Linked DNA regions of Tribolium castaneum. The protein of the gene in region 2 interacts with the protein of the main gene of each other region in a pairwise test. Links are inferred from orthologs where the notes say so. Each region holds a gene or a part of one and is shown on either strand. Other genes may lie near its edges.

Region 1 (4,660 bases), on a different chromosome or scaffold from region 2:
TAGCTCTGTCTACAACAGAGGCTGAGTACATGGCCATGGCAGAGTGTGCCAAAGAGGCCATTTATCTTAGACGATTCATTCAGGAGTTGGGATTTGACAAACTGGCTGACGTAAAAATCTATTGTGATAACCAGAGTGCAATACGTCTTGCTGAGAATCCTGTTTTTCATGCGAGAAGTAAACACATAGATGTCCGTCACCATTTTGTACGCGAAGTTTTGAGAGACAAGCAAGTATCTCTCGAGCATATCTCTACAGAACAGCAAGTGGCTGATTTCCTAACTAAAGGACTCGCTAAACAAAAACATATTTGGAGTGTAAATGCAGCGGGACTACAAGTTATCAATAGTTAGGATAGTTGCCAGAAGTTTTAGTGGAAGGATGAATTTTTTTTTTTTGGAAGTATTCATTCTAACGACACACGACTCGAGGGGAAGTGTTGGACATCTAAGTTTCACGAGTCGCGTTTCGTTTCCGTGTGAACCACAGTTTTGTTTATAAGAGTGTGCCGTGTATATTTTTATCAATTCCGTCATTTTGTATTTCGATTTACTTTCATATTAAATATACTTTTATTAGAAGTCTCAAGTATCTTATCCCGAAGTTCCAACATTAAGTCAGAAACACACTTAGGTCGAGTTGTATAAAAAATTTCAGGATTAAACCCATAGCCATTGTTATGAGAATAATTGTTAGGGATTTAAATCAGGACTAAAGATGATACAACTCGACCTTAGAAATGTAATCACATTTTTTTTAAGCCAAAGATACAAAATTCAAAATATAACATTATATTTTGAATTTTGTATATATAACATTATATTTTGAATTTTGTATAATCTATTTTCAACTATCAACATCATTTAAACAAGGATAAGATTATAAAGCAATAATAGATAAAGGAGAATTACCAAAGTTTCAATAAGTTTATTTCTCAATTTGAAATCTGAATGTGATAATTAGAACGTAAGAGTTTCAAGGAGATGAACCATTTTTTGATAATGAATAATGTGTTTTCCACTGTCAATGTAAGTCCTAGAGATTTTCTTTTTGCAAGAACGTTTAATTTATTACTAATAATATAAATATTAATATATTATTCTTCAAAATATTTACAACTTTTAGATGCAAAGTATAAGACTGAATATTTATTTTCATTGAGTTTTAAGTTAACATTACTGCAATGTTTGGCTATTCTTTTTAGATCATTGTTTATTTGATTCCATTCAGTATCATGGTAATCGATTTTGTTTGAAAAATAAATAAATAAAAATTAGTATAAAACGCGAAGAGGAGGAATGCAGTACAGAATTACAGACGAAACCGCTTTTTTTTCAAATTGAAAGCCGTTTGGTTTTTAAAAACCCGTGAAAATTTAACTCAATTCAATGTTACTACTGCATTTTTGTCTCTATTTTTTTTAAACTTATTTTGACATAAGTTATAATACGGAAGCTTTAATACATTATATTTAACAATAATCACTAGACTAGTAAAAAAACGATTGATGGACTTATCTCATTATTGCACTGAATAAATGTCCACAAATTTTCGGTGTTATAACAACTGTTACTGTTTAATGACATTAAAATAAATCAATCGATTACAAAACCAGTTATTGCATTTGAAAGAGAAAATTTTATAGCATACGTTTCTATATTTTTCTCAAAAAGACTAAAACTGGAGTTATTTCGTTAAAACATCGAACACCCCAATTAAAAAAAGGATTGGGCCCAAAACTGAGCACTGGGGTACACCTGAAGTTATGTGTTTCGCTTATTCGTTACAACTTATTGATACCGGTCTTGTAAGTATCAAGAGAATAATAAAACTGCATTTTCATCAAACCCATAGAAAACTTTTTGCAAAGAAGATTGTGATCTCTAGTATGTTATCAAAATCTAATGAAACTATAATGCTGCTTCAACAGTAGATTGGCTAACAATATTGTGTAATTTTCAATGTAAGAAATATTTTCAATACTAGAAAAATTTAATACAAGAAAAACCAAACTTACATCAGCGAAGTTCATTCTATTGGCATGTTTCCTGAACTCAGTCATCGCATATCTCTCTTTCATTTTGCGGACTCTTTTCCCGCCCCTTTTCTTCTTGGACTGGTCGATAGGTTTCGGCAGCGGCTTGATAAACTTAACTGGGGGTGGTTCCAACAACTTGTCCAGTTTTCGTTCAATTTCGTCGCGTAATTGCCGCCCAATACGTCCGTCTTTACTCTCATGACACGAGTCCACACGTGCTGCTAGCGTGCATTTAGTGGCAACAAGTCTGGCAGCCTTCCTTCTCAAATCAGGCGGAGTATTTTGCACGATATCTGCGTAATAAACGAAACCAGTGTGCGGCAACATATTCACTTGTGAAAATCCAGACAATGCCTTCTTCTGTTGGCCCAACAATTGCACGTTACAGGCCGGAATTTTGGACAATCGGGTCAAACCCCCGGCAACCCCCATGAGCTTGGCGGCGATCGAAGCCCCAAGAATCGCCGACAAGTTGGGGGCGATGAAAGCCATCCGACTCTCAACGTATTCGTAAATTTTCAGTTTGAAGTTGTTCAAGTCTATGGCCATGTCGCAAGCTTCGTCGATTTGTTTCTTTTCGACGTCCGTTAGGAGAATCCCCTGTGTCGTGGATGCCGTGACTGAGACAACCATGATAGTTGCCTGCGTTAGGAATTGTTGCAAAATTTCATTATTTTTGGCTTGGTCTAAGTCATTCCCGAGCTCTTTGACGGTCTTCAAGTACTCCAAAGGACCAACAACAAGGGAGTCCAACTCGGGGAACCGCTTCTGGTACTTGTCGCGCACAAATTTATGGACAGTGGCTTCAATAAAACAGATTAGTTTCAACTGATTTGGTTAAAATCGTAACTCTTACCAATTTCCGCGTCTATATCTGCAGCAATGTTGTTAGCTTCGACGATCAGTTGATACTCAGGGTCCAACTCAACTGGTCCTATGATGTCGTGGTATTTTCGGCTCTTCTTCACATGGTCTTCGATTTGTTTCAATATTTCATGTAAATGGGGCGAGTCCCGTAATTTACACAACTCTCGGACTGAAGTTATTTGAGTTGTGTCTACCTCTAACTGGATGTCTTTAACGTCGGGTTTTTCTTCTTTGATGTCCGGTTTTTCATCAACTTCCATCGCTTCTTCCAAATCATCTTGATCGTTTTCTTCCAAATCAGCCAATAATTCGTCGGCCAAAGACATTTTAGCGAGTTAAAAACGTAACTCCAAAACGTTCACACAACACTTGGAAGTGAGGTTAGAAAAATGCAGTTTACAAATTGACAAGTGTCCATAGATTACTTGTAATGTGGGGCTGAATTACTGGTTGTCTATAATAATCTGCTTATTAATTTGGGGATAATGAAAAAAAACAATATAATTATTAATTAGTGAAGGGACGGAATATAGTCCGTGAAAGAGTACTTTTCCGGACACATATATCACTAAAAAAACAGTTGTTATTGTAGTTTCAAGCCATGTTATTTAAATAAAAAAAACTTTTTTTTTATTTTAGTCAACTTTTTGGTAAAAACTATAACTATAAGAACATAAGAGCAAACTTGCTTCGCCAAAAGCTCTTTTAAATACCATTTTAAATTAGAATATTAAGATAGTTGTTTTTAAAAATAAACAAAAATAAATGGAAAAAAGCATACAAATAAAAATAAAAAGGAGTCAGAGGACGCCAAAGCACCAACTAATTTTAATAAAACCGGATTGAATAAAACTGTATGCCGAAGAAAAGAAATAAAACTTTTTGACTACAAACGAACACCTTATATTCATCTTAACGAAGTTGTGGTAGATGACAGAAATATTTAAAAAATTTACTTTCTTATTAAATTTTGGATCAAGTTGTGTCTTCTTTTTAAAAACGATGCATTTGTATTTGTGAATAACTTCAATTTTTTAAGAAGATTTAGACAGCAAAAAATTGTAAAGACTTACACGTAAAGCTTAAAAATGGTTTCCGATTTATTTAACGGAATTAACGCTTTAAGATTCATTTTTTAGAAAATAATTGCAAAAACCCACAAAATATATTAGAAAATCTTTTAATAAATAATTTAATTCCTATTCATTACCCGTTTTCTATTCAACAGGGAAGCGATCATTTTTAAAATTAAAAATTATTTGGCATCTACGATAGTTCAATGCTTCAAATCGAAGCAATTTATCTGTTATCTTATTATAATAAACTACCAACCGACTTTTTAAAATTCTGATCTAGTTATCCATGACAGATACGTCATCAATGAAACATTTTGCATAAATAACTTTAGCATCGCTTTATTTGTCAATATGTCTAAAATGTTCACCGAAGAACCAAAAAAAATATGTTGGAATCTTATTTCCGTAATGGAGATCGGGTTAACGTAACTGTCACGGATAACTAGACCAATATTTTAGAAAATCACACAGTATTAATTTGTTTGAATATAAAGTTACAGTATAGTTACACAATTTGTAAATTTGGGTTAAAAAAGTACAGTTTTTTAAAAAACTCTTCAGGTTTTGGGATATACGAAAATGTTTATTATGTCATTTTAATACATACATTTTATGTCAAACTTAAAATTCTTCTAATAAATAAATATTTGTTCCTTTATTTATTGAACCTAGTCAGTAA
Region 2 (4,660 bases):
ATTTAAGTTTAACAACAATTTTGGCCAAAATTTAAAATCGAGCAAAATAAGCTAAATGAAGTCAATTTCATTTCTTTAATTACTAGTCTAATTTCGTAATTTTTCAGCTTGAAATGAAAAGGGTGACAACATTAATATCAAATAAAGAAATAGTATATTAAAAAACAAGTTTCATAAGACCAGTCTTTAAGCACGAATTTTCAAAAATGAGTGCTTCAAGGCCTTATGAAAATGAAACGAGTATTTTATACTGTTTTGTAATTTGGCCCCTCTTTGCCGTTTTTTAACAGAAATTGTTTAAATAATGTGTTTAAATAAGTGCTCTAAAATGTATGAGTATTGAGTAATAATGGAAGTAAAAGCTTTTTTAGCAAGTATTTGCTTTGACGTCGAGGTTTTTTTCAAAACAAAGTGAATGAAATAAAGCAAATACTTTTTTTATTGAGCATTTATTTCAAAACATGCTGTTAGTATTAGCATCAACAATTTTCGATGACAAATTACTTGTACCAAATTTCATGAAACTCGATTATTCCAATTAAGTTACTAAAATAAAAAAAACGATTTTTTTTTAATTTGACGCCCTCTAACTTTTAAACGGTGCAACTTGGTATAGAAATAAGTTGGCCTAAATCGCTCTATTTTAAGACAGGGAATCTATGGTTCACTGTTGTGAACTGTTCACTGTTCACTGTTGTGAACATCTTTTCGTTACACCCTGTATAGAAAAGTTGTTTTATTTGATGAGTTTTTTTATGTGGTAAAATTCACACACGTATTTTTGATACACCCTGTATTAATAGGCGAAAATTGTGGATTTGAACAATGCAGGGAGAATCTTGAATCTTCTCCCTCCACGCTTTAAACTTAAAGGGGCATTAATTTTTAATTCGACGTTTTAGCAATTTAGTGCGAACTTACAAAATTTGTGGAAGCGTATGCTTTACCGACGAAACACACTAACTGTTGCAAGAGCTTTTGTAGAAAATTTCATTTCGAGTTAATAGGACAGATAAAGGTACTGAATTTTTACCATGTACGAGAACCAAAGTTTGCAAAATTTTAAACATAACTCATTTGAAATCTACGCTTATTATGATGAGTTAAGGAGCTATCGAGAAAAAACATAAAAATCTTGGTGCATTTTTAATAATTTTAACCAAAAACAAAAGTTCCAATTAATAACTTCTGGATACCATTTCGGGTTTTCCTTTTAATACAACAGTTTATTCCGAAACTAAATACACTCCCTTTGAATTAGTTTTTAGGAAAAAATATAACTTACCTCATTTAACCAATGAGATTGTGCCTTTGTATAATTTTAATGGTTATGTGCTAAAAATGAAGTATAAACTGCAAAGAACTGCATGACGCTCATAAAAATCTCGTATCTAGGAAAATAAACTATGATAAAAGTGTTAATCCAACGATTTAGTGTTAATAAAAAACGAAACAGGTGAGAAGTTAAGTGCAATTTTCATCAATGGACCATTCAAAGTGATAGAAGACTTATCTCCAAATGTAAAGATTTTAAAAAACGATAAAGAAATAATTGTTCATAAAAATCGAATAAAAGGATAAGAATAGGTATATTTTACATACTAAACATTTAATTTAATGCTTCTTTAAATTCGTTTATGAAAGTGGCCCTAAGACCTTGTGAAACAGAGTTTATGACAAAGTCGATTAAATTTAAATCAAGATTTAAATGTGTTTATGAAATCGGCCCTTTTAGGGTAAAAATAAGTTAAAAACAATTTATTAATTATTATTTTTGTTTACCTTTTTCTTTGGAATGCTTGCGGATTTTTCTGGCCCGTAGGCCCCAATAGCCCCCCGGCCCTTCCTCAAGTGGGCCTCCACCGGGGCTGAAATCCCTTGTAAGTCTTTCCCTAGCCCCTTCCCCGGTTGAAAACCCATCTGTAATAGAAGCTTTGCCCCAATCCCCTTTGTGTGTTTTTCCCAATTTCCCACCCCTTGCATAGGTTGCGAGTGAGTTTTGTTACGTAGGCCTGCAATGTCCCCACTTTCTTGGACCCCACCGAACCCTGAAATATTCAAATTGGAAAAAGTTTGATATTTTGTGCCCCCACCTGGCCTTGGACGTTCATCCTCTGAATCACTTGAGCTATCCTTAAGTTTAAAACTCGTCGTTGGTTTTTCCTCATCACTTTCGTCTTCTTTTTTAACATTTTCGGGTTTTTTACCCGCTTGTTGGACACCCCCCGCAACAAAACCAATCGGGGCGGAATAATTTTTAGGTTTTCGTGATTTAAACGAAGGTCGCTCTTCTTCGTCATTATCACTGTCGTCTGCCCATATACCTACACGGAACTAGTCGTTAATTTGGGTTTGTTCCACCTAAATGGGTAGATAGTAGATGTGGAGTCAAGTTGTTACCATAAATCTGCTGGTGTTTGCTTAACTTTTTTCTACCACGGTAAAACTCATTGTTTAAATCGTAATCCGTTATTTCGAACTTTTCCATCTCGTCGTCCGACATTTTCACACGTTTTTTCACACTTTTACAACAAATTAATCGATTTCGGGTGGCAAAAAAGCAGAGGTTATGTTTTGCGTCAGGTCGCTTTGCGATAGCGCCCTCTGTCGAGAAAAAGCTCCCCACAAGTGGGATTCTACTACGATTATTTAAATAACAATTATTAAGGTACGTTACGTTTGTAATCGTTTATGAAGCTGTAATGTTTACGTTACGGAGGAGTTTATATCGGGAGACAAAACAAGATAGAAAATCGCACGATTTTCTGTACCCAAAAAATATAGTACGACAGAGAAAAATGAGGGCGCTTCCAGAGTTATTCGGCCATAGATACAAGCGCCAAAACGTTTTAAATTAATTTTAATTTAACCAAATCACTTATTACTTGGAAAAAATGCGGAAATGTAGGGCTTTACATTCGTAATAGATTGAGAAAAACTGATGACTAAAATTTATACAAAAAACAAGAAAAAGAATTTATTTCACATTTTCTTCCATTTTTTTCATTACACAATGAACATGGTTAAAGGTACAAGAAAATTGTTAGGAATAAAGTATAGAGAATTTATTTTTTTTAATGGTCGGGACAATATCACTATTTTTAACCGCTTAGGCCCTAAAGAAGTATAAAGAATAAAGATGCTGAAGGCACGGTTTTTCATTTTACCACTGGTCAGGTGGGGAAAATTAATTTACACCTTAATTTACCCATTGAAAATATGTGCGGACTTAAATAGGAAATTTAATTCTCTACACCCTTACATTTTTCTTTACATTTTTTTATATTTTCCACTGTATTCGTAGCGTTTTGATAAAAACACAAACTAGTAATAGTATTTTTTTATTTTTTTTGGATAAACTGTTTGGATCATCTTTATTCCTATGTATTAAGTTTTTAATTTAAAACTTCTACTTTTAGCTTGCAATTCTTGCAGATGAACAATACTTTAATAATTTCTGTAAAATTAAGCCCTATTAACTTTCGTTTAGAACTACCAGAACTACTTTGAAATATTTCTATATCTCCAAAATAAAACTTGTAGTTATTATAAAATATTTAATATTTATAGGATGGGTTTATGGAAGCGTCATTAAGTTAATTTGCAATTAAATGCGTGATTAACTGTTCATGTGATCAAATTGAACAAATTTGATTGGTCGATTCGCGTTGTTAACTTTTAACAACAAATTAAATTTTAACAAGGCTTTCTATAAACTGTATTGTATTACCGACTTTAACTGATTTGTCTGACTTTAAAATAAGACGTTCATTTAATTGTCTATTTTTCTTTATATTCTACAATGTTAAAGCATTCCAAATAAACCTGCTTATAAGAGGAATTTTTCAAAATTGCTTTTGATTAAATTAGCAAGTAGGTTCATTAGTTTCACCTTGCTTTTTGCAAGGCTAATGCATAACTTTAATAAGACAGAAGTGATGTACAGAAGAATTTACTCAAATATCAACACATCAACAAATAATACACCGGCTTAGGAAAATTTCATGGAGAAAAGAGAAAATTTGTTACAACTCACTCAACATGTCGCTGAGAAACTTGATGAAAGTGGCAGAAACTTACTCTGAAACGGGATGGAGCAACTAGTGCTGCTAAGGATATTTAATGTCAATTCTTTAGAATTCTTTAGTTATCTTAACTATTGCATTATTATATAAATTACTGAATAGAAAGATAAAATTCATTAATTTAGTAAATAAGATAATTTTTCTTAGCATTAACTCACGGTATTCCATGATTGTTTATTTTATCCTTTTTGTCATACTAATGTTCTTTTAAAATCGGCGTTGGATGTAATGTGCAACAGTTTTAACCCAGGTTTTAACAAAATTAACAGTATTCATTTTTGTTCTTTTAATTTCATAAAAAAATCTTGTTTTTCAGTTTTTGGGCTTATGTTTAATTTAATAGGAAGGCAAAATTTAAAGTTTAATGTTAGTTTTCTTGCATTTTTTCCCTTATTGTATTGTTTCTACTTTTTAGTTTTTTAGTTTTAGTTTTAAGACAACACGTTTATTTTAGATGTAATTAGATGATTCACCTGTTGAAAATAAATAAATAATAATAATAATAATTATTATTATTATCATTATGATTTATTATTATTATTATTATAATTAAAAGACTTAACAAAACCCTGATA

The links.
Region 1: the proteins of sip1 (region 2) and Prp31 interact in binary tests that used the Homo sapiens proteins (3 or more experiments, as listed by UniProt). The link is inferred for Tribolium castaneum from reciprocal best matches to the Homo sapiens genes TFIP11 and PRPF31.

The regions. Positions count from the first base shown.
Region 1 is NC_087395.1:18,107,460-18,112,119, reverse strand, and holds the start of Prp31 (U4/U6 small nuclear ribonucleoprotein Prp31), read right to left. Parts: upstream 3,327-4,660; 5' UTR 3,232-3,326; coding exon 2,895-3,231; intron 2,842-2,894; coding exon 2,018-2,841; intron 1-2,017. UniProt on the Homo sapiens protein: Involved in pre-mRNA splicing as component of the spliceosome. Required for the assembly of the U4/U5/U6 tri-snRNP complex, one of the building blocks of the spliceosome.
Region 2 is NC_087402.1:11,582,905-11,587,564, reverse strand, and holds the start of sip1 (sip1/TFIP11 interacting protein), read right to left. Parts: upstream 2,615-4,660; 5' UTR 2,504-2,614; coding exon 2,401-2,503; intron 2,325-2,400; coding exon 2,094-2,324; coding exon of another isoform or gene 2,049-2,093; coding exon 1,783-2,048; intron 1-1,782. UniProt on the Homo sapiens protein: Involved in pre-mRNA splicing, specifically in spliceosome disassembly during late-stage splicing events. Intron turnover seems to proceed through reactions in two lariat-intron associated complexes termed Intron Large (IL) and Intron Small (IS).